Linked DNA regions of Rattus norvegicus. The protein of the gene in region 3 binds, or shares a complex with, the protein of the main gene of each other region. Links are inferred from orthologs where the notes say so. Each region holds a gene or a part of one and is shown on either strand. Other genes may lie near its edges. The genes, in order: Polr3k, Polr3c, Polr3d, Polr3e, Polr3g, Crcp and Polr3f.

The links.
Region 1: Polr3d (region 3) and Polr3k share a complex: the UniProt entries of both Homo sapiens proteins name them as parts of the RNA polymerase III complex. The link is inferred for Rattus norvegicus from reciprocal best matches to the Homo sapiens genes POLR3D and POLR3K.
Region 2: Polr3d (region 3) and Polr3c share a complex: the UniProt entries of both Homo sapiens proteins name them as parts of the RNA polymerase III complex. The link is inferred for Rattus norvegicus from reciprocal best matches to the Homo sapiens genes POLR3D and POLR3C.
Region 4: Polr3d (region 3) and Polr3e share a complex: the UniProt entries of both Homo sapiens proteins name them as parts of the RNA polymerase III complex. The link is inferred for Rattus norvegicus from reciprocal best matches to the Homo sapiens genes POLR3D and POLR3E.
Region 5: Polr3d (region 3) and Polr3g share a complex: the UniProt entries of both Homo sapiens proteins name them as parts of the RNA polymerase III complex. The link is inferred for Rattus norvegicus from reciprocal best matches to the Homo sapiens genes POLR3D and POLR3G.
Region 6: Polr3d (region 3) and Crcp share a complex: the UniProt entries of both Homo sapiens proteins name them as parts of the RNA polymerase III complex. The link is inferred for Rattus norvegicus from reciprocal best matches to the Homo sapiens genes POLR3D and CRCP.
Region 7: Polr3d (region 3) and Polr3f share a complex: the UniProt entries of both Homo sapiens proteins name them as parts of the RNA polymerase III complex. The link is inferred for Rattus norvegicus from reciprocal best matches to the Homo sapiens genes POLR3D and POLR3F.

What each region holds. Positions count from the first base shown.
Region 1 is NC_086021.1:189,358,826-189,363,179, reverse strand, and holds the start of Polr3k (DNA-directed RNA polymerase III subunit RPC10), read right to left. Parts: upstream 2,832-4,354; 5' UTR 2,768-2,831; coding exon 2,657-2,767; exon of another isoform or gene 2,655-2,656; intron 1,448-2,654; coding exon 1,360-1,447; intron 1-1,359. UniProt on the Homo sapiens protein: Core component of RNA polymerase III (Pol III) which synthesizes small non-coding RNAs using the four ribonucleoside triphosphates as substrates. Can mediate Pol I proofreading of the nascent RNA transcript.
Region 2 is NC_086020.1:186,937,704-186,940,969, forward strand, and holds part of Polr3c (DNA-directed RNA polymerase III subunit RPC3), read right to left. Parts: intron 2,857-3,266; coding exon 2,776-2,856; intron 2,596-2,775; coding exon 2,544-2,595; intron 1,758-2,543; coding exon 1,697-1,757; intron 1,353-1,696; coding exon 1,202-1,352; intron 385-1,201; coding exon 283-384; intron 167-282; coding exon 117-166; intron 1-116. UniProt on the Homo sapiens protein: DNA-dependent RNA polymerase catalyzes the transcription of DNA into RNA using the four ribonucleoside triphosphates as substrates.
Region 3 is NC_086033.1:51,923,121-51,927,152, reverse strand, and holds the start of Polr3d (DNA-directed RNA polymerase III subunit RPC4), read left to right. Parts: upstream 1-1,200; 5' UTR 1,201-1,242; exon of another isoform or gene 1,243-1,293; intron 1,294-1,461; 5' UTR 1,462-1,466; coding exon 1,467-1,631; intron 1,632-2,200; coding exon 2,201-2,244; intron 2,245-3,185; coding exon 3,186-3,337; intron 3,338-3,473; coding exon 3,474-3,598; intron 3,599-3,856; coding exon 3,857-4,025; intron 4,026-4,032. UniProt on the Homo sapiens protein: DNA-dependent RNA polymerase catalyzes the transcription of DNA into RNA using the four ribonucleoside triphosphates as substrates.
Region 4 is NC_086019.1:184,895,926-184,900,217, forward strand, and holds the start of Polr3e (DNA-directed RNA polymerase III subunit RPC5), read left to right. Parts: upstream 1-1,489; 5' UTR 1,490-1,616; intron 1,617-4,292. UniProt on the Homo sapiens protein: DNA-dependent RNA polymerase catalyzes the transcription of DNA into RNA using the four ribonucleoside triphosphates as substrates.
Region 5 is NC_086020.1:13,687,280-13,690,833, forward strand, and holds part of Polr3g (DNA-directed RNA polymerase III subunit RPC7), read right to left. Parts: intron 812-3,554; coding exon 668-811; intron 1-667. UniProt on the Homo sapiens protein: DNA-dependent RNA polymerase catalyzes the transcription of DNA into RNA using the four ribonucleoside triphosphates as substrates.
Region 6 is NC_086030.1:32,292,965-32,297,109, forward strand, and holds the start of Crcp (DNA-directed RNA polymerase III subunit RPC9), read right to left. Parts: upstream 2,804-4,145; 5' UTR 2,790-2,803; coding exon 2,782-2,789; intron 1-2,781. UniProt on the Homo sapiens protein: DNA-dependent RNA polymerase catalyzes the transcription of DNA into RNA using the four ribonucleoside triphosphates as substrates.
Region 7 is NC_086021.1:152,360,473-152,364,607, forward strand, and holds the start of Polr3f (DNA-directed RNA polymerase III subunit RPC6), read left to right. Parts: upstream 1-1,325; 5' UTR 1,326-1,371; coding exon 1,372-1,598; intron 1,599-2,393; coding exon 2,394-2,511; intron 2,512-4,135. UniProt on the Homo sapiens protein: DNA-dependent RNA polymerase catalyzes the transcription of DNA into RNA using the four ribonucleoside triphosphates as substrates.

The DNA.
Region 1 (4,354 bases), on a different chromosome or scaffold from region 3:
TCACATTTAAATTTATCAAACAAATCAAGATGTAAACATTTACTTTTTAATACCTCCAGTTGCAAATATCAACCCCCCCCCCTAATTTTTTATAATTATTTTATGTGCATGTTTTGCCTTTGGGTAGTCTGTGCACCACGTTCATGCAGTGTCCCTGGATGCAAGTAGAGGGTATTAGATCACCTGAAAGTACAAGTACAGAAGGTCTGAGCTGCCAGGTGGAAGTTGGGAAGGAAACCCAGTCCCATGCTCTCAACCACTGAAATCCTACCCCACAGCTATTTATCGGTTGACAGAATGGCTGAGCCAGGGTCTCAAAAAGCCCAGATAAGCACTGAGCCTTCTGCCTCCACTCAGAGAGCACCAGAATCGTAACTGGAATCATAAGCTTGAGCAACCATCCTTCGTCCACAGTTATAATTTTTTTAAATCCATGTAATAAAAAATAAAACGAAATGAAAATAAAAGACTAGGGCTGATCATTTTCTCAGTGTTGGTATTTGAAAATACATACAACACAATTTTCATGAGAAGTCCACACCCACTAGAGCATGGATCCCCCCTTCCCAACAACTATATATAAATCAATGCTGAAATTTTTTGTAATGAACTCTAAATTTGCTTCAAAAAGAGAATATTTGCCAGATTTATTTTTTAATTATACTTGTCCACATCGGACTTGAGACTCTAAATGAAACAACGGTTCAGGTATCACTATAGTAACTTTGCTTTAAAGAATCCTTGAAAGAATCTACTTTTAAAAAAATGTTATTACAGCCAGGTGTCAGTGGCAGATACTTTAGTACCAGCATGTGGGAGGCAGACAGGTGGATCTCCGAGGTCAAGACACTCAGAGCTACACAGTGAAACCAGGTCTCAAAAAAACAAAATCAATTAACAACAACAAAAATGTAAAAGACTTTAGAGTGCCTACACTGTAATTAAAACACATCACCAAAATATTTCATGCACTAGCTATTTGATATTACATTGTTATTTACATCTTCTTAAGTTCTTTTACACTTGTGCACGCCCATGTGTGCATGGAGGGTGGTACAAAATCTTCCCATGAGTCAGTTCTCTCCTACTATCTGGGCTCCAAGAATCAAACTCAGGCTAACAGATCTGGCAACAAGTGCTTTTACCAGGGTATCTTGCTGGCCCTAATAACAGACAGGACTGCATTATAATACTAAGTTTATTATTAGTATTAAACACCGAGGGCTGGAAATACAGCTTTCTGGGTTCCAACACAAGCACCACACACACAAACTAGCGAAACAATATAAATATAAAATATAATAATAAGTAATAACAAACAAGGTTGAGTCACTGGCTCTGTTACGGGAAAATCCTCACCTGCAGTAGAGTCCACATTCTCCCAGGCAGCTGCTCCACCAAGCACATCATCCACTTCTTTTAGCTTTGGATACTTTCGGTTTGTTACCTAACAGACACAAGCCACCAGATTGGAAGTAATTGTACAGTTTTACAAGTCGGTCACTAAGCCACAACTCCCTCCAGCATTTCCTCTACAAAATTTGTCTTCTTCAAAGAGCAGTGTGAGTCACTAAAATGTAGGGGTTTTGTGACTCGGATGTTCCTCCAAACAGAACAGAGGTTCTAGAGGTTCAGACCTCTAGAGACCGAAGGAAACACCAGACAGAACTGAAAGGAAAAAACAGCCTAGTAAAACCTTGCTCTTCTCTCATACCCCTAGGACACCTAATAATCCAACAGGAAAGACAGACAAATGAAGTCACTTAGCTGGGTATACCAGCACCCCAGGTCACATTTGGATGCTTTCCTATGTTTATCAGGCATCCCTGGAAATTAGAAATTCTGTCACAATTCATCTTACCACAAATCCTGACTCTAAACCCCTACCACACAGCTCTAATGTGCAAACATTAGGAACGAGGAGTCACCAAGGCCCAGTGCTGCACAACTGCAGTCACTGAACTAAGGCACGGAGGTAAAGAGGAACGGGAATTAAGGTACACAAAACACCGAGGGCTGGAAACACAGCTTGCTGGGTTCCAACACAAGCACTACACACACAAAGTAGCAACAACGATATAAAACATTAGAAGACAATGAATTCTGTGAAAACCTTAAGGGAATGAGGATAAACAGAAAGAACTGGGTTTGGCTTTTCTGTGCTCTGTGTGTGCTATGCAGCCCAGATGAGCCTTGAACCTATTCTCCTGCCGAGTGCTAGAATTATAGGTGCACAAACAGCCGCACGGGCTGACATTTAAATAAGGCAGCCATTATTTTAAAAGAGGAGAGGGAGAGAGAAACAGGGAGGCACACATGCACCAGAGACGGGGGAAGAGGGAGACGAGAACGAGAAGTGCGTCACTCTGCGTAGTTATTCAGGGAAGACCGACTCGGGCGGAGGGAAGAACCTGACAGCACTGCGTGCAAGAAGATTCTCAGGAATCAAGATAGGGGATGGGAGCAAACGAGCAACTAAAGAACCCGAGGATTTGAAATCAGAGGTGAGGAGCGGACTGGAATCTGCGAGGTCCAGCGTAGGGGGATGAACTAAAATTCGCACAATTTCTGAGCGGGCAGCGGGGAGGTCCGAGCGCGCCGACGCCTGCCCTGGGCCCCGCGGACCGCAGGGAGAGCTCCGGCCTGTGGACCTCACCTTGCGGGTGATGTTATGGACGTACGGGCACGTGTTGCAGGCGAAGCGGTGACAGCGCTGCCCCTCCTCCACAATGAGGCCGTTCCCGCAGCCCGGGCAGAACAGCAGCATTGCTCAGCTCCCACACGGCGGCTCTGTGTGGCGCTGCCGAGGTTCAGGCGCCCAATCTGAAGCCGTCTCCCTTCCTCCGTTACGGGCAACCGGCGATCGGCAACACGTTCCCGGTAGGCACTGCGGCGGGCAGCCTCGCGCATGCCATTGGTCACCGCCGATGACCCTTCCCCATCCAGCCAATTGCATGCTGTCTGCACTCGCTGTCCGTGTAGCTTCTGCGCGTGCGCACATCTCCCTAGCTGAAACGCAAACTAATGGTGCCGGCAGATGGCAGCACCTGGGGAGCCTGATGGTGGTGAGCCGGACTGGGTGATGAGGTGCTGCTGAGCTGCAGTATCTAGGCCTGGAAACTTCTACCCTCTGTAAAATCTAATTCAGGCCTAGAAGGTTTTCAGCTTCTGAGACTCACTGCGGAATAAGCGCACCCCTTCTAGTTCTGAGCGCTGGTTGGCTGGTTCAACTCAGCTGTTCCGGCTCAAACTGATTGAATTTGGCTTCTCTCTCTCAGCCTTTCCTCAATTGCTCTGCTTGGCCTCATACTAACTTTGACAATCTGTTCTAATCTTCTGGCACATTCTGTCTTCATCTGTGTCTAGTTTGTTCTCTGTAAAAACTGTCCCAGGAAAACTGCCTCCTTCTCTCTCATGAGAGTTGGGCATACCCTATTCTGTACAAAAAAACAAAACAAAACAAAACAAAAAAAACAAAAAAAAAACTCTCTAATTCCCCACTTTGTCGGACACTCAAACATCACTTTTAAAAAAAATGATTTATTTATTTAAAGTACACTGTAGCTATCCTCAGACACACCAGAAGAGGGCATCAGATCTCATTACAGACGAGATGAGATGTGGTTACTGGGATTTGAACTCAGGACTTCTGGAAGAACAGTCAGTGAACCACTGAGCCATATCTCCAGCCCTAGACATCATTTTCAAATATGGGTGATACCTTCTACAATCTAACCTGACCTTCATTGTTGGGCATTAAAGGAGCATTCTAAGGGCGTGTCTGTATTCCAGCCAGCGGGATTAAAGGTTGTGTGCCAAGGGCCGAGTCACACCACAACTAGAAACAGGTTTTTCCAGTAAACACAATCCCAGAGTTCATGGTATGATAAAGAAAAAGCCTGCAACAATGAACCTCCAGCTTCCAACCTTAGTCCTGAAGAGCTGATCTAAAACAGCTGGATGGTAGGTATTCCAGTAATAGCCTGAGGTCTACCATGTAGATTCTGGAGGCCCATGCGCAACACATGCACACTTTTCCTAGTCACTTGTGTCTCCTTGTTCCCAAATATTTGCAGGTGAAGAGGCTAAAGCATGGAGCCCCAGCTCAAGTCTCTGTTGGTTAACTCTGCATGTTTCTTTGAGGGATTCTTGGGGGGATAATTTAGGGGCTCTGATCATTATTTTACTAGGAACTGAGAAGCAGCTCAGTACAGGTGGGAGACCCATCATTATCTTTGCAAGGATTCTTGACAGAAGTGTGAAGAATGCAAACTACAACCCATGCCCAGAACAGGACTTCAACAACATCCCTCACAGGATGATCCAGAAAATAAAGTTGAAAGTCAGAGGCGAT
Region 2 (3,266 bases), on a different chromosome or scaffold from region 3:
GCCCTGGGTTCGGTCCCCAGCTCCGAAAAAAAAAAAAAGAACCAAAAAAAAAAAAAAAAAAAAAAAAAAAAAACCAAAACCCAAACTGAAAATGGTTCACGGGAGATTGCACTCACTTGTTCTCTTTTGTTTCAAATTGCCGCCTTTCTATCAAGTTGGCTATGCTCTGAGGAAAGAGAAGACAGACTAGAAATGCATAGCGTTCTGAAGTGACTTGGGTTGAGTGGGCAGAGGAGCTGGGAGGGCGAGCTGTGAGGGGACGGGGAGGAGCGCATGTGTCACCTTGTAGCACCTGTGCAACAGCATCCTGGCGGCTGACAGCACATTCACGGTGTACAGATAGAAGGTCCTGGACGGGGCGTGGTCTGGCGTTTTAGGAATTTCCTGTTGGTCCACAGAAATAAAAAAAGAAATTGTACTGTTATTTGCAATGGGCAAAATAAACACCCATCCTCCTGGTACTGTCAGCCCTGATACTTCTTTCCTTCCTAGCCAATCAGAGGCCGTCTTTATGACATAAGCAGCCACACGTAGCAGGCTGCTCTGTTTTCTATCTGTGAATCAGCCTCCTGGGTAAAGGAAAGGAAAGGCAGCTATATTTACTGAGTCAATTCTACACAGGCTAGGTGGATTGTATTTGATTTTCAAAATAGACTTTACTAATAACTGAGACAGTGTGATACTCAGTTTCAATCCTCCAGTCTTACTCTTCTAAGTACAGAATCATAGGTATGCATTACCATGGTTGCTCAGTCTGCCTTTTTTTTGTATTGTCCATGATTGGTCCGAACCACAGTTTTTATATCAGCAGCCACCATCACTTTACAGCTATGAAGATGATGGTGGCTGCCTTGCTTAGTGAGTTGACCCCACACTCCATTCAACCTACTTCCTCAAAGGGTCTTCAATATCGATAGATCTGCAGGATTCAGGCTATGCTGAACAAGTTACTCTATTCGAGATTTAAGGCTGAGACAGGTCAGGAATAATTAATTGGCTGAGGGCAAGAAAGGACAAGGAAGTTAGAATTGTGAGCTGATTTCTTGGTGTGCTCTGTCTGTCTCTCTGAGGCCAGTTAAAGTCTAGATGATCCTTCAAGGATTTGCTGTGTCTGTGTTACTCTGCCTTCTATCTCAGAGGTGGCTGTAGTGTCTGTGAGGGCCCAGACTGACTTCTCAGCAGGCACTGAGGCCGTGGTCACCTGCAGTGATATGAAGTTCTCCGAGAGCATCTTATACAGCATGTCCTTTGCCTCCTTTGCAGGGATCATTGCAAAGTCCTCCACCTGCTTCTGCTCCAGGTGCTTCTTCTGCAACACCAGACGGAATATCCGGGCACAGCGAGACCCGAATCTGGGTAGAGACAGGGAAGCACTTGGCATTCGTTAGCTCCTATCTCAGAGTGTTACTAATCCACATGTGAGGTCTGGGCCAGAAGGAAAACAGCATCCGTTCTTCCTCAGCTCCCGAGGCTGGTGATGGCACTGTTCTCTTGTTACCAGAGGCCCCCTCCTTAGAGCACCAGTGCTTGTATTACAGAGCTCTAGGGTGGCTAGTTAGCTTGCCTAACTAGGAACTAACTTTATGGGAAATATGAGACCAAGTGTGGTGGGGAATGCCATAAAAACTGAATTACTTGTTCAGTGGAGTGGGGATAGGAAGTGTCTGAGCCCAACCCCAATCAATGAGCCCCTTACCTCTCTTGGATGACAGACTCCAGAGTTGCAGTGGATAGGGATGCTAATGCCTTATGGAGGTCTTAGGTAGAGGATTAAGGACATTTAGTAATGTTTTAGCCTGGTCACTATTACCTTAGTTTCATGACTGAATTCCTAAATTTCTAAACTAAAAATTAACTGCTATTTTGCTTTTCATATTTCATGTGTGATATGTAAGTATATTAACACATTTCATGTGTGATATCTATCAACATTTGTAAGGGTTCACTTAAGTAAGATTTTTAAAAACAATCTTTTCTTTTCTGAGACAGGATCTTGTTATGTAACCTAGACTGACTTTTGAACATTCAACTTTCCTGCCTCAGCTCCTAAACTGCTCAAATTATAAGCATTTACCATCACACTGGCACTGGCTCTCCCCAGCTCCTTCCCTTTCTTATCTCCCCTCCCCGCCCACATCCTCTTCCTCTCTGTCAATGCTGGTGATCTGGCCCAGCACCTGGATCAGTAAGTGTGGTGCTACTGAGTGACAGTGGAAGCCTTTTTTATTTTCATTAATGTAGCTCACTGAAAATTCACAGAAAACTTAATAGAAATTTCACTTTTTAAACTTGTTTAGTATATTAAGCATTAACAAAGTCCTTCCTGGTGGTGGCACATGTTTCTAACCCAGAACTTGGGAGGTAAAGGCAGGAGGACCGGGGCTGTACTGTCAACTTCTAGGCTACACAGTGAGTTCAAGGCCAGGATGGGCTTCAGAGACTGTCTCAACAAAAACAACAAAAAACCAAAAAAATCTTTCCCAGGCCCTGCTCCTGCTTCCTAACTCAGGGGTCCTGAGAGAATAGGCGACTGGGAAGGATACTGATGACATACATTCCTCCGCCACTGTCGCCAGCCTTTCCAATAAATTCTAGCTGTTAAAAAGAAAGAGGGAATGGTGTTAGTTACATAATTCTCTTCCCAAGGAGCAAGTCTGGTCAAGAGTCTGTGGCAGGCGGCTTTCCTGCAGGCAACAGGGCTTTGTCTGGGATGGCAGGAAGACACCAAGGCTATAGGAGACAGACCGTGATCAGACTAAGGGGCAAGACACTTACTGGGTCATCTGCCAGCAGCGTGAGGTACTGATCCAGAACCTGTTTAGAGATATTATATCCGACGGGCAGGGATCTGAAGATCTGTGGGACAGAAGGAGAGGCTGGAAGTGGGGCCAGAGACACAGAATTGCTAAGTGTGACTGAAACAAGATGTCCTAAGTTTAGGGTTCAAAAACATAAAAATATCTAAGGAATATTCACAGTATCATTGTTTATAAGAGTAAAACAAAGGCCAAGAGGGCTGCACACCTTTAAGTCTAGAACTTGGAAGGGAGGCAGGTAGAACTGTATTTGGGGCCTGGTCTACAGAGTGAGCTCTAAACAGTCAGTGCTATACAGATAGACCCCGACAGAAGCAGAGAAGAATGAAAAATAACCCAAATGTCCAGTGACAAGTAATTAGTTAAACTACAACCAAGCATAGTGGTATATGCTTGTAATTAACACCAGCTACCCCAGAGGCTGGGGAAGGAAGACTGTGGGTTACTGTG
Region 3 (4,032 bases):
ACACTAGTTATTTCTAACGATATACCTGTTCAAATGAATGCATTAAGGAAGATAAATATATATATATATATACATATATATATATATATACACACACACACACACATATATATACATATATACTCCTATTGGTCATTTGTTTCCAACAAAGGATACAGTATTGTGTGGCACAATGTTACAGTACATCACTAATATTTTAATGCTAGCAGTCTATGGAATTCTAGCAGAAATAGGTTCCTTCCCTAGAACTACATAATGTTTTTAATTCGTATTGGGGATCTCTGTGGTGTAACATTAAATGACTTTTTCCCCACAGATTAAGTTATATATATTTGTATATATTAAATGTATACATCCATTACAATAAAATTTTTTTAAGCTGGGATTGGTGGTGCACATCTGTAATCTGTGCCCTGAGGGGTGTCTGTGAAGAGACAGGACTGCTGCCAAGTTCGAGGCCAGCCTGGTCTACTTAAGTTCCAGACTTGATAGGGTTACAAGAGTAGTGTTGTCTTAAAAACACACACTACACACACACACTCCCAACCAAAAAAAAACAAAAAACAAAAACTCCCACTTTAAGAGCAAACTTCAGTTCCAGGCTCTTTCCAGATTTGACTAAGCAATCATGAACCCAGATAGGCAAAGAGCTATTGGCTGCTCTGTCCAAACTGCGTTAGGACCTCAGGGATCCGCAAAGGAAGGCGCTCACGAGCAAAGGGACAAGCCCGAAGGTACAGTGACCACTCCAAGGTCAATGCAGGGAAGCTGCAGCCAGCCTCGGCCTGAGGGCAAGGCTCCCTATGTCCGGAGATGCATCCCGAGAGCCGACCTCACTGTTCACAGAGGCTGCGCAGTACACCCCGTACAGCAGGTAGGCGACCTAGGAGGCCCCCCCGACCCTGTGGACCGCACTAGCACTGTCATCCAGGAGCAGAGACACACCCCCACGAGTCACACCCCCGCACAGTTCAGAATCCACTCCCATATCCTTTTTCGCCCTCTCAACCCAGCTTTTCCCGACTCCGGGAAGAACCGGGAAGAGAAGGCGGAGGACAGCGAGGCACCGTCTGATAAATACTATGGTCCGATCACGCCCCCTTGATGTCACTTCCGCCCTAGGGTAAGATGGCAGCCCCCGGTTCTTGCCACGCAGACTTCCGCCTTGCCGTGAGACCGGCGGCCGGTGGTTGGTCTCGTTAGAGGTGAGGTCGTGAAACTCGGCGTAGAGCCTCAACGCAGGTACGTCATGCAGTCCCGGGGAGAGGGCATGTGACGAGTCCAAAGCTAGAGGTGGGGCGCTCCGGGAAACCTCGCCACGTGGGACTGGGAGGAGCTGTGGTGCAGCGGGAACGACGCACGGACGGGGGGGGGGTACAGAGGGGGATTACGTGGGTGGGGTTCCGCCCAGGGTCTTCGCATCCAGCCCTTGGAGTCACTTTGTTGCCTACTTTCCTCTAGGAACCATGTCGGAAGGAAACGCCGCGGGCGAGCCCAGCAATCCTGGAGGGCCCCGACCCCTTCTCTCTGGGGGCCGGGGACTTGTGGGCCGGCGGCCCGCTCCCCCGCTTACGCCAGGCCGCCTTCCCTCCATCCGCTCTCGGGACCTCACCCTTGGCGGTGTCAAGAAGGTACCGGCGAGTGTATTTGTACAGAAACCCAAATGCTTTGAGTTCCAGGCCGAAGGGAGGCAATTCGTGATGTTCATTCATATACGGCCATTTGTCCCTGATGGGATGTCAGCCTCTAGCGAGAGACCTTCAAGCCTAGGTGCTGGTACAAGACATTGACATGGTTTCATAGGCAATTAAAAGGCAGAGAACCTAGTTAATTCAAGACATTCGGAAGTGCTTATTATGTTATGGGCACCTTACAAACTCCCATGAAAGTCAGACAAAATTGCTTTACTTGGTAGAGTGTTCATAACTCTGTGGATGTCAGTAAGGAAGCAAATAATCTAGTGGTGATGAATGAATCTTAGGCATGCAGGTAACTAACTGCTCTTTGTCCTCTCCCATTATGTGCATAACAGTAGATATAAGAGTACTCTGAAAAGAAAGCAGAACAAACAGGATAAAGCTACGGTAGTCTCCCTGTGTCATCCATTTGTCAGTGCTGGCAGATCTGTCTCTCCAAGCCTTCCCAGAATTGTTGGTCTGTTGAGCACTGCGAAAATACAGTACTGTATTTTACTTTTCAGAAAACCTTCACCCCAAATATCATCAGTCGGAAGATCAAAGAAGAGTAAGTACATAGGATTAATGAACACCACTCACCCTCTTTTGCTCTGAGTTTGAGGAAGTAATTAGGTGTGCAGCCTGGGAATTTTAACTTTTTGCCATTGGCTTATTCACCAGTGGATCTCATGCTTTAATCCCAGGTTATGTAGAGATATGTTTGCTTTTGAGACAGTGCTTCTCTACATGGCCTTTCATATCCTGGAACTCACTGTGTAGATTGCTGGCCTAGAACTCCCAGGGATCTGCTTGCCTCTCAGATCTATGTCCTGAGCCCTGGGATTAGGGTGTATACCATGCCTGGCTCTGAGGCACTTTGCATTAGAGGGCCTGCCTGTCTGTCAATCCATCCATCTGTTTGTCTGACTGCAATGAATAGCTGAGATATCAACTTACAGAGAGGGGCATTTCATTTTGGACGTCCAAGCTTTGGAGGTTTAAGTCTGTGATGAGGTGGTTCTATGCTTTTGGGTCTATGGTATGGCAGTGAGCTGGTGTCAGAGAATACCCAAGGGGAGAAAGAAGTCAAGGAGAGGAAAGGGCTGAGTTTCTGTCCTCCTTCAGGAGCTGGACAACCACCCAGTAGGTTCCACCTCAGCTTCCTCCTAATTCTGCTGAGGTGGAGCAAAGCTCTTCATACTCCTCTTAAGTTCCTCTGCTTTCCAGTCTTTCTACTTCCAGGCAAAAACAGGACAGAAAGCCCACATTTTGGACAAGGAGGTAAAGTGAGAGGAAATTAAAGGCCGTGCTTTATCAGATGTAACAGGTGTAACAACAGGTGTAACAACAGGTGTAACAGCAGGTGTAACAGCAGGTGTAACAAAGGGTTGGCTTGTGATTCTCATGGTCTCTTTTCTGGCTTGCAAACGCTGCTCAGTTGGTTGAAATGAGGTGGGTGAGGAGGGTTTGTTTCCTGAGGCAGACCCTTATATCTGTCCTCATCCCCAGGCCAAAGGAAGAAGTAACTATGAAGAAGGAAAAGCGTGAACGGGACAGAGACCGCCAGCGTGAGGGTCATGGACGGGGACGTGGCCGCCCAGAAGTGATCCAGTCCCATTCCATCTTTGAGCAGGGTCCAGCAGAAATGATGAAAAAAAAAGGTACCAGGAAGGGATCTGGATTGCGGGTCAGACCACCTGAGAAAGCAGAACATGGGATTCTCCTTTCCTAGCTTGGTTTCCCTTGCTGTTGCTGTCCCCCTGATTTAACCCTAGTGAACGGCATGATTTCCTGCAGGGAACTGGGATAAGACTGTGGATATGTCAGACATGGGGCCTTCTCATATCATCAACATCAAAAAAGAGAAGAGAGAAACAGATGAAGAAACCAAGCAGATCTTGCGCATGCTGGAGAAGGATGATGTAGGTTCCAGCAGCCTGGGGGACCGGTTTCTTTGTATCTGCTAACAAGGGCTTTTAGGAAGCCAGGCCAGGGACATCTTTGGGCTTTTGGTCACAGGAGCACTAAGGTGGGGCTGGGGATGCAGCTCCGTGGAAAGACTGCTTGCCTCCATGTGTGAGACATATACACACAAAGGAGAGGGAGTGACAGGTCCTGAAATGGGCTGTGACATAGGCACACATGCTGACATTTAATGTGACCCCCCCACTCTTTGGCAGTTCATCGATGACCCAGGGCTAAAGAATGACACACGGAACATGCCAGTACAACTGCCACTGGCTCATTCAGGGTGGCTTTTCAAGGAGGAGAGTGAAGAGCCAGACGTTAAGCCTTTTTCTGCTGGCCCCAAGGAAGAAGACATGGAGGTGGATGTGCCAGCTGTAAAAGGTAACCC
Region 4 (4,292 bases), on a different chromosome or scaffold from region 3:
GAGCTGAGTTACCCCTGGGAAGGGAAGAGGTGCAAACTGAAGAGAGAGACTCACGCCAGACAATAAAAAAGGCACAGTGGATGTGAGGGAGAGTTCAGATTTTCATAGCAATAAATGTGAAAAACGAAGAGAACGGCCTTGCTTTGTCCCAAACTCCAGAATAGCAAAATTGACTCAGTAGGAATTAATAACCTGAAGATTTCGGTGACACACACCTTTAATGCCAGCATTTGGGAGGCAGAGATAGTGGGATCTCACTGAGTTCCAGGCCAACGTGGAGTTCCCAGTACTTGGGAAGTGCAGGCAGGAGGATCAGAAGTTCAAACTCACCTTTAGCTACACACATAGTTCAAAGCCAGCCTGGGGCATTGTGAGCCTTAACTCAACAAATGTGTGTGTGTGTGTTCAAATGTATGCAGCAATAAGTTTAATTCTAGGTGGTGGAAATACGGGTGACTATTTTTTTTCCACTGTGTCTTTTTCAGTCTTTTAAAATATCTAGGGCTGGTGAAATAGCTCAGTAGGTAAACATACTTGCCTCAAACCTGACAACCTAACTGCCCCCACATGGTAGAAAGAAAGAACATACTCAGGCAACTTGTCCTCTGACCTCCACAGCATGTCCTGCCTGCTCCCCGCCCCTCCCCCACTTCCAAACAAATAAATAAGATAAACGTAAAAGTCTGTATGGGTACATTGAAATGAATAGATACTTAAAAATGAAGTCTGGTTAAAAACAAAAGCAAAAACAACAACAATAACAACAAAAATCCCCCCAAATATGGTGAAAAACCAACCAGCTGTATATCTCTATACGTTTCTGCGTTAATATTTATATCCCAACCCATTCACAATATGACAATTTTAAACACGTAATTTTTCAGATAGAAATGTGCAGACCTGGGGTCACAGTTCAGCTTTCAGAGTTCGGTGAAAGTTACTTCCAGAACCAGACGTCTAATTAGGGCTATGTGAGTGACAGAGTGGCTTAACTTGACACCTTAACCATCTGCCTCAGAACGCAATTAAACTTTTTTTTCTTTAAAACTTATTTGGAACAAGCTTGCATCTAGATACTTTTATTTTAATAAGTGGCATTATAATAATATTGTTTATGACAATTTCTATCAGCAGGAGATAAAACAAACACAACTTCAAGAATTTAAGGAAAATATACGTGTCAATCCAGTAAGTAGCTTCTTAGGAAACAGCTTTAACAGCTGGGTAGCGTGGCCGAGCGGTCTAAGGCGCTGGATTAAGGCTCCAGTCTCTTCGGGGGCGTGGGTTCGAATCCCACCGCTGCCAGGGTAGTTTTTTTGTTTTGTCTCTGCCTCCTGCGCTCTGAGTTTCTTCTGCAGCCACAGCGGCGACCCCTGCCGTCAATGTGTGCTCTCTGCACCACGAGTGGCTCGCGAAGGGGCGGTCCCGCGCTCGCCGGGGCGGGGCATTGTGGGTAAGAGGAAGCGCGAGGGCCGGCCCCGCTCCCCCCACGTGTCCGCCGGAGTTTCTCCAGCAGCAACATGGCCGCTCCCTGATAGAAGACCCGGCCGCCGCCGTCTCTGCAGCCCACGGGTCCCTGGGCCGTTCCGCCGCCCGCGTGCGGCCCCGGCGGAGAGGTGAGACCCGACTCAGCAGCCTCGGGATTCTGGCCCCAGCCGTCGCACTCGCTCTGGGCTCCTGGCCGCGCTGCTGACTAGGCCAGAGAGGCCCGCGCCGCTGCGTGCCGAGGGGCCGCGGCCTCCCGGGGCAGGGCGCAGGGCGGCCACCCAACTTTCCAGGCCGCCCTGGGCCTGGGTCGCTCCGCACGGCTGGACGGTGGGGAGGTGACGGCGGTACGGCCCGCGCTGACTCAGGCCTCGGCCGCGCTGCCTCGCCCGGGCCTGGCTCACGAACCGCACCTGCGAGGGCACTAGTGCCCGGTGGCGTGGCGGCTTTTGGAGGAGTGGGAAGGGCGCCTGAGCACCGGCGACAAGGAGAAAGCCATTGGATCGCGGGGCTGCCTGCATGGGCGGGGGTCGTTGCCTTAGCTGAACTGGGTTAACTCAGCCCTAGCGGGCCCGGGACGCCTCATTCATTGATCTGTGTTTAAACAGAGTGGCGACTGCGCGGACCCGGGGACCCTCCAGTAACTGGGGATAGTGGTGCACATTGCAGGTTATCCTGGAATCCTGTTCTTAGAGTTACTGGGTTTGGGAGCGAAACGATAAGATCTTACATTTATCTGTAAAATGGGGATAATATGATTCCTGTGCTGCTTCTTTCATTTGTGGCTATCTTGCTCGGTCTTACATTGGAAGAAAACATGTTGCCACGTAGCAACAGCCCTTCTTATAGGTTCTACTTATCCCTTTGAAGCCGGTGTGTGGTTTATTGCTGGTTTAGGATGAAAATAGGAAAGATCCGGGGTTACACAATCCATGACATTAATCAGCTGCTATGTTGTAGAGGTGGGATTTGAACCTGTAAAGTTTCGCATGGGAGTCCAACCTCTTAACCACTATACCATACGGCCTTTTACCAAAGATGTGTGCAGCATATTGGTTAAGAATAAAATCAAGGCTCTTTGACATCAGCTAGATTTGGATTTCTTGATTACCCGTTTTCTTGGGGCTGTGACCTTGGGTAAATCAATTCTAAGCTGGGCACTATAAATTTTGATTTGCACAGCTAATGAGAAGATTAAATATTTGGTACTATATTGGTACCTGTTATCATTAACATTTGCGAGAAAGAACTGTGATTTTTTTTTTAATTTTAAAAGTAATGGTCCCATAACAACAAAGTATAATTATTATCTCCACTTAATGGTCCAGGAATATAAAGTGTAGAGAAGCCTTCGTGGAGTTTAAAGTCTAGCGCAGAGGACAGCCAACACCTGACCAGCAAGCAGATCAGGAAGTTCCAGGTTAGGACCAGTCAGGAGTAAGGAACTATGCTTGTAATGGAAGGGGCTGGAAGCGGCTGTTCCAGTTGGTCTGTCAGGGAACGTCTCTAATCCTGGAGGGAGTGGCAGTTGTTACCACTGCATCCTGAAAATGACCTGGGGTTGTGCAGAGGTCCTCAAGGATGCTTGGGACTTGGCCTGTTAGAAGTCGGTAATTGATCACCAGGCCATGGGGAGATGCTTATGTGAAGACAGGGACAGGATCATGTAAGAGCTTAGGGGCTCCTGGAAGGATTTGTTTTATGGGACAGTTGAAGGGTTGGGAGCAAGGTAGCGATACCATGGTAGCGATACCATAGTAGCGAGGCTACTGCCAGTCACAAAGACTGGCATTCTCTTGAGAATTGGAGATAGAGGAGTGGAGCTAGGGAAGCCTTTTTGTTTGTTTTGTGTCTGTAGGTCCCCCGTCTGTCGTCCCCGTGGCCCCCCCCCCATGAGGCTTTGATATATACTCACCCAGGATGGCCTCAGACTTGTTATCTTCCCCCCCCCTCCGCCTCCCAAGTGCTGGTATTACAAGCATAGATCACCACAGCTTGCTCTGGAAGCTCAAATTGTTGGCTATAAAGATTTCAGGTCAAGATTTATTAGTGAGTGTTGTAAAATTGGGTAGGGGTCTTGCTCCAGCACTGTTATTTTGCAAGGGCAAGGATGGAAAGCCACACTGTGTGGATGTAACAGCCATGCTACACAAGGTACTGCTTCAGCTGAGGCATTTCTGCATCACTGGTGGGAAAATATTATTGTTGGTCTTAGGCTCCACCTTTAAAAGCCACTGAATTGGATACTGGGAGGCTAAAGGGAGCTGATGGCCTCTGCAGGTAACCCAAGCAGGTGCAGTGTTCAGAGGGAGGAGATGCTAAGAGGGACCTGATTCTGCCCGATGGCAGGGCTGGGCAGAACTTCAGCCCTGAAAGAATAATTGAGACTTAAGACTCTCGTAACCACCCATAGTCTCTTTTTGTATGTGCTGTGTTTCCTTAATTCCCCCTGAAATCCTGTCTCAATTGGCCACTAAGTGCAGCTGCCTGCAGAGTAAGGTACGTGCTTGACACATATCTGTGACACTTGGTAGCCAGTGCAGATGCACGGTGGCAACCACATAGGACTATGCTCAGATGGTTGAGACCTGCCCGCCACATCTTGATCTGCTGTGATGGCCCATTTCCCACCAGCCTGTCTCTTTCCCTGTCCCAGATCATCCTTTGCTCAGAATCCCTCTGGAGCCCAGGCAGCCTTTAGGTTCACATTTTTCAGGTACCGGGTAGAGCTGTGCTGTACCTGCTGAGTTCTAGGGACCAGGTATACAGCAAGGCAAAAGTAGACTGACTTAGTTTGTTGCTTACAG
Region 5 (3,554 bases), on a different chromosome or scaffold from region 3:
AATTATATACATTGCAAAAGAACACAGAGCTTCATACAACATGGTCAGAGAATATAACAAATACTCCACAGCTGGACGCTCCGGGTAGAGAGAGGAAAGTAAACGATCTCACGCTAGGTTTGCTTACCCTAGAAGTCTCTCCAGTCCTCAAGAGGTCAAGATAACCATGTCGCCCTGCCCACACACCTTGACTGACTGCAGCTTTTCAAACATACCATGTTTCTAAAAACCAGGAATTCCAAGCCGCGATGGCCCTGCAGGGATGTCCTTCTAGGTCTTTGTGCCTAAGCCCTTTGGTACCTCAATTTTATGTTGGTAAGTATGAATTGTACTACTCTCAGTGAGTTCCTGAAGTCCTTGCTTGCAGAAGATGTTGATCTGGTTACTTTGATCTCCTTGTTTTAATTTTGTGTTATCATTTTATACCAAGCAACTGATGCCAGTGATGGAAATATATTTCCAATTCTATAAATTTTTTTTTCTGTTTTGTTTTTAAGACAAAGTCTCACCATGTTATGGCCCCAGCTCGTCAAACTCCTCCCAGTCATCCTTGAGTGCTAGGACTGTGGCCGAGGTTTTATTTGCCGACCGACATCACATGCCCCATGCCACAGCTACTCTTTAAGGTTAGGTAACAGACTCTTATCATCCTCAGACAGACTTTTACCTCCTCTTGTTCCTCTTCATCATACTCCTCCTGTTCTGCATCTTCTTCGCCATCCTCCTCCTCATCTTTCTCTTTCTCTTTGCTCCCTTCTTTCTCGTCGTTTTCTTCATCCGACCTTTCACCCTCGCCTCTCCTTTCCAGTTCCTGATAAAATGAGATTCGTTAATCCACATCTTTGATTTGTGCACCCAGCCTCCAAAGAAGAGCTAGATTAACATGCTGGCCCACTGGCTGACCTCCCACCTCTCAGGGAAGGGGCAGCCACCAGCCCTTAAAGCAACAGCCACTCTTCAGTTCTGTTTCTTTATCACTGGTCTCCCTCAGCTACACTGGGGTTAGAGTCCTAATCCACCGTGCCTTCTTTTCAAGGTTCCTATCCAACCTGCTCCTAAAATGCTTGACATAATTTACTTTATGCTACTCCTGTCCCCTCTGTCTTTCATTACGTCCCACTGCCAAGAACCTCTGTTTCACGATACAAGGTTGTGAAAAGGAGATGAAGAGACATCACTGAACACGCTGGCAGGTATTAGCAACTCAAAAGGGGAAACAGAGTTGGAAAGGCTCTGGCCTCTGGGTGTCTCTCGCTGTCTACCTGGAAAACCATGTGCTGGACACCACACTACAGTTTCGATTTTACAAATGCCTCGTTACTACCAATCATTTTTTCAGTTGATAGAAATGACCTCATTTTATGACCGTCTCTGTTCGCTCAGTTTGGTGACCCTCACTTTGCACAAGGGACAGAATTTCACAGGTTTTCTGGGAGAGGGGCACAGCAATAATTTTGCATATTCATAATGAAAGCTTCCTATGAGCTAGTTTCTGATTATCACTAACGGTAATTAGAAGAGCAGTGAGCTAAGGTATAGGTAGGCTCTATTACTCCTTAAGGCTTTGCTGATTATCCACAAACATAAGTCATATTTTACATCCAACTTGGCTGTTCTCCCTAAATGTTCATTTTAAAGATTATTTTAATTCTAATTTAAACTGAAGATCACATTAACCAAATCCAGTGTAAATGAACGAATTTAGAATGTTTATGCGTGTGTAGAATGCACGTGTGTATATTAATGTGTTCATGCATTTGAACACGCATGTGGAGGCTGGAAAGTGACACTGGATGCCCTCCTCACCCACGCTCCATTTCATTTATCGAGGCAGGTTCTGGCTAGTTTTGCCAGCCCATTGCTTGCCTTAGGGACTCCTCCTTCTCTCCGTCTCCCACGTGCTGGGATTATAGGCTGCTGCCGTGTCCTTCTGGCTTCTGTGTGCATGCTGGGGCCTGGGACATCAGACACTATGCTAACCCAGTCAACGTCTTATCTACAGAGCCAGCTCTCCAGCTCGCAAGACTCAATTTTAAATTAAATTCAAGCAATATTGCTTGCAATTGACCTCACTCAGACAGAACAAATTAGAACCAAGAAGAGTACACATGTAGGCTATCTCACTCTAATAACAACTGTTGCGCTTCCTCGGTGGTTACTCTGACAATACCATGTGTACACTTCCCAGCTGGCCATCTTCTTGGAAAATCCTAAGTAACCCAAATTTTCATAAACCTTTTGAAACATCTAAGACAGACAGACAGACACACACACACATACACACATACAAAATAAGCTACATTAATATTAAGATATGTCTTTTCTGTTTTAACTTGATCATAGGTAAAAATGGCTACAATTAAATACGATTATAACGGAACTGAAATATTTATTTTCTGTTGTGAAAGTAGGCTCTATTATCTTTTTAAAAAGTCACTGATTATCTCAAAATTACAAACAATTGTTTTATTTTAAAAAAAAAGCCACAACTGTACTATTGAAAGTACAGCATTTGTTCACTGTGCTGTAAGGACCAAAGACTGTATTTCTACTGTTGCCATATCACACGGCCGAAGCAAATAGCCTCATCTTTACCACAACAGCCAACCATGCATGTCAGTAGAGTGAGACAGAAGCTGTTCAAGACTTTTCTTATGATCCCAGGGACACACGCTGTGTAGTTACTTTGTTCCTTCCACAAGCTAACGATTTTGTCTTTAGTCTTTCGTACTCAGGCTGACTGTGCAGGTATAAGGAGAGAAGGACTCACATCAGGAGAGGAGATAAAATGCAGACCGAGAGCAGTTCTAGCTTAGACACTGGACACGCAAAGAGCCCCCTCCCTCAGGTAACACGGAAGGAAGGTGCATCTGTCACTGCTCTGAGACCTGACCTAATGCTGCTACCTCTACCCAGAGAGGCAGCCATCATGATACACAAAGCTGCTTTAGTTGGAGACAACCAGAAACAACCACTGCTATAAAATTATAAACACATTAAGATTTCTGTGTTTGGAATGTTCTGGAAAAGGTGGCAAAGGTAAGCACCAAGGAGGCGCAGTTTGTCCCAAGGAAAACCACACCCAAGTGAAGGCCAATCCATAGGGTACTGTATGTGCCCCCGGGGGGTTGTCCCACCTTTCCGAGCAGGCATGACCAGACACATTCAATCTGTCACTCTACCTAGTTACCACTTATCCTTCACTGACTTCCAAATTTTAGATTTTGGCCACGCTATCATCCGGCTCAAGCACTGTCCAGAAAGGAAATCAGTAAAATTCGGATCTTCCCGTCAAGCAGCTGTGCCAAAGATGCCAGTGAGCACGTGTGTTTTTTATTGGATAGTTTATGTATTTATATTTCAAATGTTATCCCCTTTCCCAGTTTCCCCTCCCCCACTTCCCCTCCCTTTCGTCTATGAGGATGCTTCCCCCTCCCACCCACGCCCTCCTGCCTCCCTCCCTGACATTCCCCTAACTGGAGTATCGAGGCTTCACAGGACCAAGGGCCTCTCCTCCCATTGATGCCCAACAAGGCCATCCTCTGCTACATACG
Region 6 (4,145 bases), on a different chromosome or scaffold from region 3:
AAACAGGGCAAGGTATCATATACCAATAGGAACAGCACTGGGAGAGTAGAGGCAGGAGGATGAGAAAAGCTTAAGGTCCTCCTGAGTACATATCAAGTTCAAGGCTAACCCTGGATAACATGAGACCCTACCGTAGGAAAAAAGGAAAAAGTAGGTAACAGACTGTCTAATGACTGGAAAGGAAAACAAGATACATTTTAATGTAAGCAACCTGACAAAAAAAGGTCAGAAATGTTTTTGAGGAACCGCCATCATAAAAATGAGTAGTGACTGAGAATACATGCAAAGGAAGTGCAAAGGAAGTGTCCCAAGATGAAGCACTAAGGCGTTCAACATTTAGACAGCAAAGGAGGAGGAGGAAGGAGAAAAGGACACCAAGCAGCAAGATGTAGGAGAGCCGGGGCGTGTTAGAGAGCTGACACTTTCCACGGTTTCTGACACCAGCTACCCAGAGATGGAGAAAGCTTAACCAGACTGAGCCTGAGCTACCCAGTCAGAGACCCCCATCTCAGAGACCGAATGGCTAATCTAATGTGGCTTGAGGTGAAGACAGGGCATCAGAATTCCATCATCCTCAGCTACATAGCCAAGTTCAAAGCCAGCCTGGGCTACTTATGACTCTGTCTCCAAAAAAAAAAAGTCTGACCAACTATAGTATCTATATAACAATTGAGCAGAAGACAAAGAAACATGAATAACAACACAATTTAGGTATGTCAACTGTGTACATATAAAGTCCGCAGGTGGAGTATATTCAAAAACTTCATTTGCCCATCAAGAAATATTTTCTTTATGGAAAAATAAACTGTTAGGGTGGCTTTGTTGTTGGTAGAGTGACTGTCTAGCATGCTCAGGTCCCTTCCATCCCAAACACCACGATATGATAATGGGGTGTGTGTGGCTTAGTGGTAAAGTACCTGTCTAGCATCCCTAAGTTCTATCCCTAGCACCACCTAATAATAATAGTAGTAATAATAATAATAGTGATAATAATGTTGTGGAAGGTGTGTGTTAAGCATGTGCAAGACCGTGGGTACTGGAGCTGGAGAGATGGCTTAGTGGTTAAGAGCACTGACTATGGCTTGGGGATTTAGCTCAGTGGTAGAGCGCTTGCCTAGCAAGCGCAAGGCCCTGGGTTCGGTTCTCAGCTGGGGGGGGGGGGGGGACAGGACACAAAAAACAAAAAACCACTGACTGTTCTTCCAGAGGTCATGAGTTCAGTTCCCAGCTACCACATGGGGGCTCACAACCATCTGTAATGAGATCTGATGCCCTCTTCTGGTGTGTCTGAAGACAGCTACAGTGTATTTGTATATAATAAATAAATATATCTTTTTTTTTCTTTTCTTGTCTAGCAAGCGCTCTACCACTGAGCTAAATCCCCAACCCCATAAATAAATAAATCTTTAAAGGAAAAAAAAAAAGACCGTGGGTACCGTTCCCAACACCACCAAATGAGGAGGAAGAGAAAGAAGAAGAGGCTATCCCAACAACAGCTGGAGAAATATCTCAGGAATTTGCCTAGTTGCCAGGTAGGAGTATTACATGCCTTTAGTCCATGCCTCCGAGGACAGAGGCAGGTGGATATCTGAGTTCAAGGCCAGCCTGGTCTAAAGAGCTTGTTCCAGGACAGCCAGTGCTCTACAGTGAAACTTTGTCTGGGGGGAGGGGGAGAAAACCTTGCCTGCTTTCCTGGTTAATCTTAACTGTCAACTTGAAACAGCCTAGAATCCTCTAAAGAAGCCTCAATGATAAACTGTCTTTTACCAAGTTGTTCTATGGGCGTGTCCACGAGGGACTGTCCCGATTATTAAATGATGCAGGAGGGTACCGCCTGGCCAACTGATGGTGGCACAGGCCTTTAATCCCAGCACTTGGGAGGGAGAGGCAGGCCTATCTCTGGGAGTTGAAGGATAGCCTGATCGACAGAGCTAGTTCCAGGAAAGCCACGACTACGCAAGCCCCAACACCCCCCCCCAAATAAATAGAAATAAAAAATAAAAGGGATGAGGGGTTATACAGACCGCGGCAGGTGCCACCATCCATGGACTGCTTCATAAAGAAGTTAGAAAACACAGAGAGTAAACCAGAGAGAGTTCTTGAACTGGTCTGAAGCTTCAGTTTCCTGTCTGAGTTCTTGCCCTGACTTCCCTCCATAATGAACTGTGTCCTGGAAGTTTAAGATGTAATAAACCCTTTCTACCCCTAGATTACTTTTGGTCATGGTGTTTGTCACAGTAACTGAAAGAAAACTAGCACAGCCAGTACTTTCACGACCCTGGGTACCAATTTCCAAAAGAACACGGCGATAACGGATGGCGATGCAGGTCAGTGGCAAAGGCTTTGCCTAGCAAAGTCCTGGGTACCATTTCCACCATTACAAAACAATGATGGCGGTGCTGATGGCTGGGGATCTGACTCAGTGGTAGAGTGTTTCCCCGAGCACATGCAGAGCCCACATCACAAGATGATTGTGACTGGCACGCATCTCAGGGTCACACTACTTCCAGAGCACGTGCAAGGTCTTGGGTTTCATTCCCAGAACCAGAAGAAAGAGAAAAAATAAAACCCCTCTCTATCCTTCCAACATTCCCCTCCCCAAAAGATACCGGAGGAGAGCGGGTTCCAACACCAGCAGGGTCCCTCCCCTGCCGCCCCACCTCCATGCACTTCCGGTCCGTGCACCCCGCCCACCCGCCCTGCTCGCGGGTCCGGAGGTCTAGCCGCCAGCCGCCTCACAGTCCCCAGCTGATTCTGCTTTCCCCTGGACGTGTCGCTTACACTTCCATGTTGCCTCTGCCTCGTCGTACACAACCGCTGGAAGAGAAGAACCTCACGTTACGCCAGCTCTGCTCTGCTCACCGTTTCTGTGTGTGTGCCGCAAGGCACTCTGGGACCGCCGTGGTGCATGCCGGGATCGCTGCAGGGCTCGCCCGGATCCTCCTTAATTCTAGGTGTTCCTACCTTGGTCTAATTTCAGCTTGTCGGGTGTTTTCATAGTGTAGGTTTTGTTAGGGTTTGCCTTGGCCACGTTAAAAATCCCTAAACCAGGCATGCAGCCCCACACCTGTAATCCTAGCACTAGAGAGGCCGAGACAGGAGAATTGTCATGAGTTTCTGGCCAGCCTGACCTACCTAATTACTTTCAAGCCATCCGAAGCTGTTTGAGACCTTGTGTTTAAAAAAACAAAAAACAGAAGCCAGGTATGGTCGCACAATCCTCTAATTCCAGCAAGGGGGAAAGAGGGAGGCAGAGAAACCCAGTCTCAAAAGACAGAGACAGAGCTGGAGAGATAGTTTAAGCACTTAGGAGGCTGAGGCAGGGGGAATGCCTTGAGTTTGAAGACAGTCTGGGCAACATGGTGAGTTCTAGTCAATTTAGACTACGTAGAGATCCTTTTCCCCATACAACCGTTAAAATTTGGGATGGGGAAGACAGATTTTCATTACTTAGCCTTTCAAACTCAGAGATCTGCCTGCCTCTGCCTCCCAGTGCTGAGATTAAAGGTGTGAGCCCCCACTGCTCAGCCATGTTAAAATGGTTTGCGGGTGATTGTGTTTGAGTTTTGTTTTGTTTTGTTTTTTGGTAAGTGGGGGGTGGTGTCTGGTATGATGACACATACCTGTAATCCCTCCACTTTGGAGATGGAGGCGAGAAAGTCAGTTTTTCATAATCCTCTTCAGCTACATGGGGAGTTTGAGGCCACCTGAGGCTACATGAGAACCCTGTCTCATAAAAACCAGTGTGTGTGTGTGTGTGTGTGTGTGTGTGTGTGTGTGTGTGTCCCACAATGGTGTTCATGGTGTTAGTCGGTCAACCATCTTACAATGATTGCCTCCCCCCTCAGGCACTGGTGATTCAGACATGAATAATACACACTCTCCATGCTAGCTGAGAACCCAGTAAGGGGACCAGTGCAGGGCATAAATCACTATGACACACTCTGTTTAGACTCTAGCATAGACAGGAGAATGACTAACATGGACAAAGAGGCGTCCCAAAGCCAGGAGTGTTTGAGGTGTGTGGAAAGAGGGTCGTTCAAAGCCAAGGCTTCAGAGATAGACTCATAGAAGACAGGCTACTGCCTTGGAGAGCCCCACCACAAAATGATTCAGAGAGGAAGGAATGCAAGCAGGGAAATCGG
Region 7 (4,135 bases), on a different chromosome or scaffold from region 3:
AAACCAACAGTTTCCTATTCGCTCTACTGTTTTGTAAATAGCAGTACAGAGACGTTATGGGTCTTTTCACTGAAGTGGGAGGAGTCCTCTTAATCCAGTATTTGCATTTTGCACTGCTGTTTCAATGATTATGGCTACACAATTATTCAATTATAATGTACACATTCATCTTACTTTTATAATCAACATTTTGCATCCTCATTTTTTCCAAGACAAATAATATAATGCCCTGGCTGTCATGGAGCTTGATCTGTAGACCAGGCTGGCCTCCAATTCACAGAGATCCACCTGCCTTTGCCTCTCAAGCGCTGGGGTTAAAGGCATGTGCTACCATGCCTGGCTTACTTAAATTTTTTCATTTAACAATTTGTTGTTCAATGGTGAGGTTATAGTTTTGTTTTTTAAGTTTGGTAGACGGAATTATGATAATGTTGCTGCGAACATCTTTGCGTTTTGACATATCTTGTTCTGGAAAGTGGGATAATTAGATTTAAAAGACGAATTTATGATAGTTCCAGATTGAGGGCCAAGCATAAAAACTACAGCTATCTGACCCTTCATAAATGAGGCTGGTTGTAGAGGGATTTACCAACCTTCACATTTCCCTTCGATTGAGAGTCAATTAAAATAAAGATAGCTGAAAACTAGATTCTAATAAACACCGATGGTTAGAGACTGAGGTGCTCACGGTTAGCTATTAGCTGCTCTTGGAAATCTGGGGTGGTCAATGGACCATCACGAGACAGAGATGGCTGATTCGCTAGGTCCACACTGCAGCCTGGTGTCGGTGTCATGCCACCAGCATCTCCCAGCATCCTTCACCTGAACCAACCTCCTCGCTGCCCAAACCAAGACCCAGACCCGCGTCATGTCCTGGCCTTGCGAGGCAGTCAGAGACGCCTAGATTCCTCCCAACCCAGTGAGAGGTGCCCTTCTCCTCACCTTCCTCCAGCCTCAAGGACAGAGATAAGGACCCCCGACGCACGTCCACTGCCGCCAACCGGGTGTCTAGACTCTCACCGCCTCACGACTGCTCCTCCGCAGCAGCTTGCGTTACCACAGACGCTGCGGACCGCGCCCCGCCCACCAGGAGCCGAGCAGATGATTGGCAAGGAAATCGACTTCCTAGCAACCAGCCCTGCCCTTGTCTCTGGCTGCAGCCTCCGTCTGGTACCCGCCCCCAGCTCCTTCTGCGACACTTTCTTTTAGGTGTCCAAGAATATGCCTTCTCAGCGGCTGGAAGAGACTGAAGAAGGGGACCTCACTCAGCTCACTGGAGCCAGAGGATCTCGTTCGATAGGTACTGAAATTTGGGACAACAGAAAGGACAAGTTGCGGCGACCCTGCTGAGCAAGGCGGAGCAGGCACATCATGGGCGCCCCAAGCCGACCTCATGAAGAAGGCCCGGCGCGACCGAAGGAAGAAGGTCCCTCGTCCCTCCCACGCCCCCACCCCTGGCGTGCGCCTCCACCGGTTCCCGAGAATTCCAGCGCGCTCCTCCGGGCCACTTTTCCTCTAGTCTTGAAAACCACCCTCATGGCGGAGGTGAAGGTGAAGGTGCAGCCGCCGGACGCGGATCCGGTGGAAATAGAAAACAGGTAATGCAGTGAAACTAGGTTCCCGACGCTAGGCGAGCAGTCAGCTGGATAGCTGTACCCCTTCTCTCTCGGTCCCCGGGAGAGGACGGAAGAGGCTAGTTGAGCACGCGGGAGCAGGGTTGACGGCTGTCTGGGAGTCCCCCTCCCGATTAGGGAGAGTAGAACTCTTCAGAAGCTCCAGAGCAGCGTGACAGCTTGAAACTTTATGTAACTGGCTCCTCCGGGGTTCTATTAGAGCACTTGGAACGTGACAGCAGCCAGTGCCAGAAAAAAAGACCTGCATTTTCCCCCTAGTTCTTGGGCATGTGTTCGAATCCAGTATTGCTCGGTTGCCAAGGGAAGTTCTGTGAGAGAACGTTCGGGCCAATTTAGGGTTCAGTTTGTGATTACAAAGAACCATTGAGCCAAGTAGGTTCAGTGAGTGCCTTAACCCCCAGCGCACATGTGTTTTTAGGTTATAATGTAGTTAAAAAGACAACGACTTTCTCAACATTATTATTGTGGGTAGTAAGCTTATTACACCTCCAAACAAATTAATCCTTCCAGTTTGTTTGGAGAAGATAATTTCTCAAACAGACTCCAGTTATGGTGAATCACTATAACCCTCTCTAGACACGCACACGCACAGGAACACGTGCGCATATTCTACATTTGCATTCTGCCCACAGACCTTGGATTCAATTTGCCGTACTTATTCCCATTGATAAAACTGAGATTTTAGCTTAACTATCATGCATCTTCCTTTTTTGCCTTTTAAAACAAGCAAACATAAATCATTAATACCTTTGTTCCTAGAATTATAGAATTATGCCACCAGTTCCCTCATGGAATCACAGATCAAGTAATTCAGAATGAAATGCCTCACATAGAAGCCCAGCAACGGGCAGTGGCCATCAATAGACTATTGTCCATGGTAAGGTGAATTCAACTAATTTATGTAATTTGTTGTATATTATGTATTTCATTGCCTCCTGTCACATAGTTGTGATGTTTAACTTCATGTGTCAACTTGACTGGGCCGTGATACTCCTAGATCTGCCTATATGCTGTTTCTGGGATGTTCTAGAATGTGGTATTTGAATTGCTGTGCTGACTGTAGAAGGTGAGTGGGCCCCATCCAATTAAGTATCAGCCTACGTAGAACAAATGGAGGACAGAAGAACTTACCCCAACCTACTTTGAGTCCCAGGACCAGTCTTCACCACTCTTTGTCCTTAGGCTTTAAGATTCCATCTACACCATGGACTTTTCATCACCGAGGCTAATGCATCAGGTCTGCGACATTGGTGTATGCCCCTGGCCTTCTCGAGTCTCCACCTTGCAGGAGACTTACAAGGATTCTCCCCCACCATAATCGTATGAACTAATGATGGCATAATAAGCCTCTTTTTTTAGTGAGTCAATATACTAATTGTTAGGCCAGAATTTTTGATTTGATTCCAAACCAGGGAAAGGATTAGCATGTTTGAATTGGAAGGAAAGATAATTACGTGCCTGCCATTTGACAAGATGAAGAAGCTGCATGCAATTCTGTTATAACTATGGTATTATCTTCATTGACACAAAAGGGCATGTGGGTGTGGCCTGTTACTTCCTGCTGCTAGCTTTTAGCCATTCCCTATAAAATATTTCCACTGTGGGTTTTTGTTTGGTTTTTTTGGGTTTTTTTTTTTTTTTTTTTTTTTTTGGTGAGTTATCAATAGCCTATTGATTGGGTATCACAGTGTAACTCTGAGCTTTTTAAGAGCAGGAAGAAGTCCCACTGAGGACTTCTTTGGGAAAAAGTACAGGCTTAGCTTCAGAGACAGTGCAGTAGAATTTTCATTGAAACTCAAGAACTTGGAGCCCAAATGCCTCTCTTCCAACTTTTGAAAAATGTCCCACCAGACACTGGCTGATGCTTTGGATCTCCTATATCTCTACTTTCACAAGCCATTTGATTCCTTTTTCCTGAGGACGTTTTGGTTTGGTTTTATTAGTTAAGAGTCTTACACTAGGCCTCTTCTGAATGACTTTTCTTTTTTTTTTTTTTTTTTTTTAAAGATTTATTTATTTATTATATATAAGTACACACTGTAGCTGTCTTCAGATACACCAGAAGAAGGCATCGGATCTCTTTACAGATGGTTGTGAGCCACCATGTGGTTGCTGGGAATTGAACTCATAACCTCTGGAAGAGCAGTCGGGTGCTCTTAACCGCTGAGCCATCTCTCCAGCCCGACTTTTCTTTTCTAAAGCTTTCAACCTGATGTTTTACCTCAAGGCACTAGACACAGATGATAGGGATAGGCAAATCTTTTGTTAAGCCTTTGTCTTCACCTTTGTGGCTCAGAATTTGGCAAACTTCTCTATGAAATAGTAAATAAAATAATTTTTGTGGCCCAACTGGTTTCTGTCACAACTGTATGACTTGTCATTTTAATAAGAAGCAGTCATGAGCTGTGAACAGTGATACATGAACAGGTGGGTGTGGCTTTTCCTCATGAAATTTTATTAATAAAAAAGCAAACAATGGGCCAGTGACTTCTGTTTTCTCC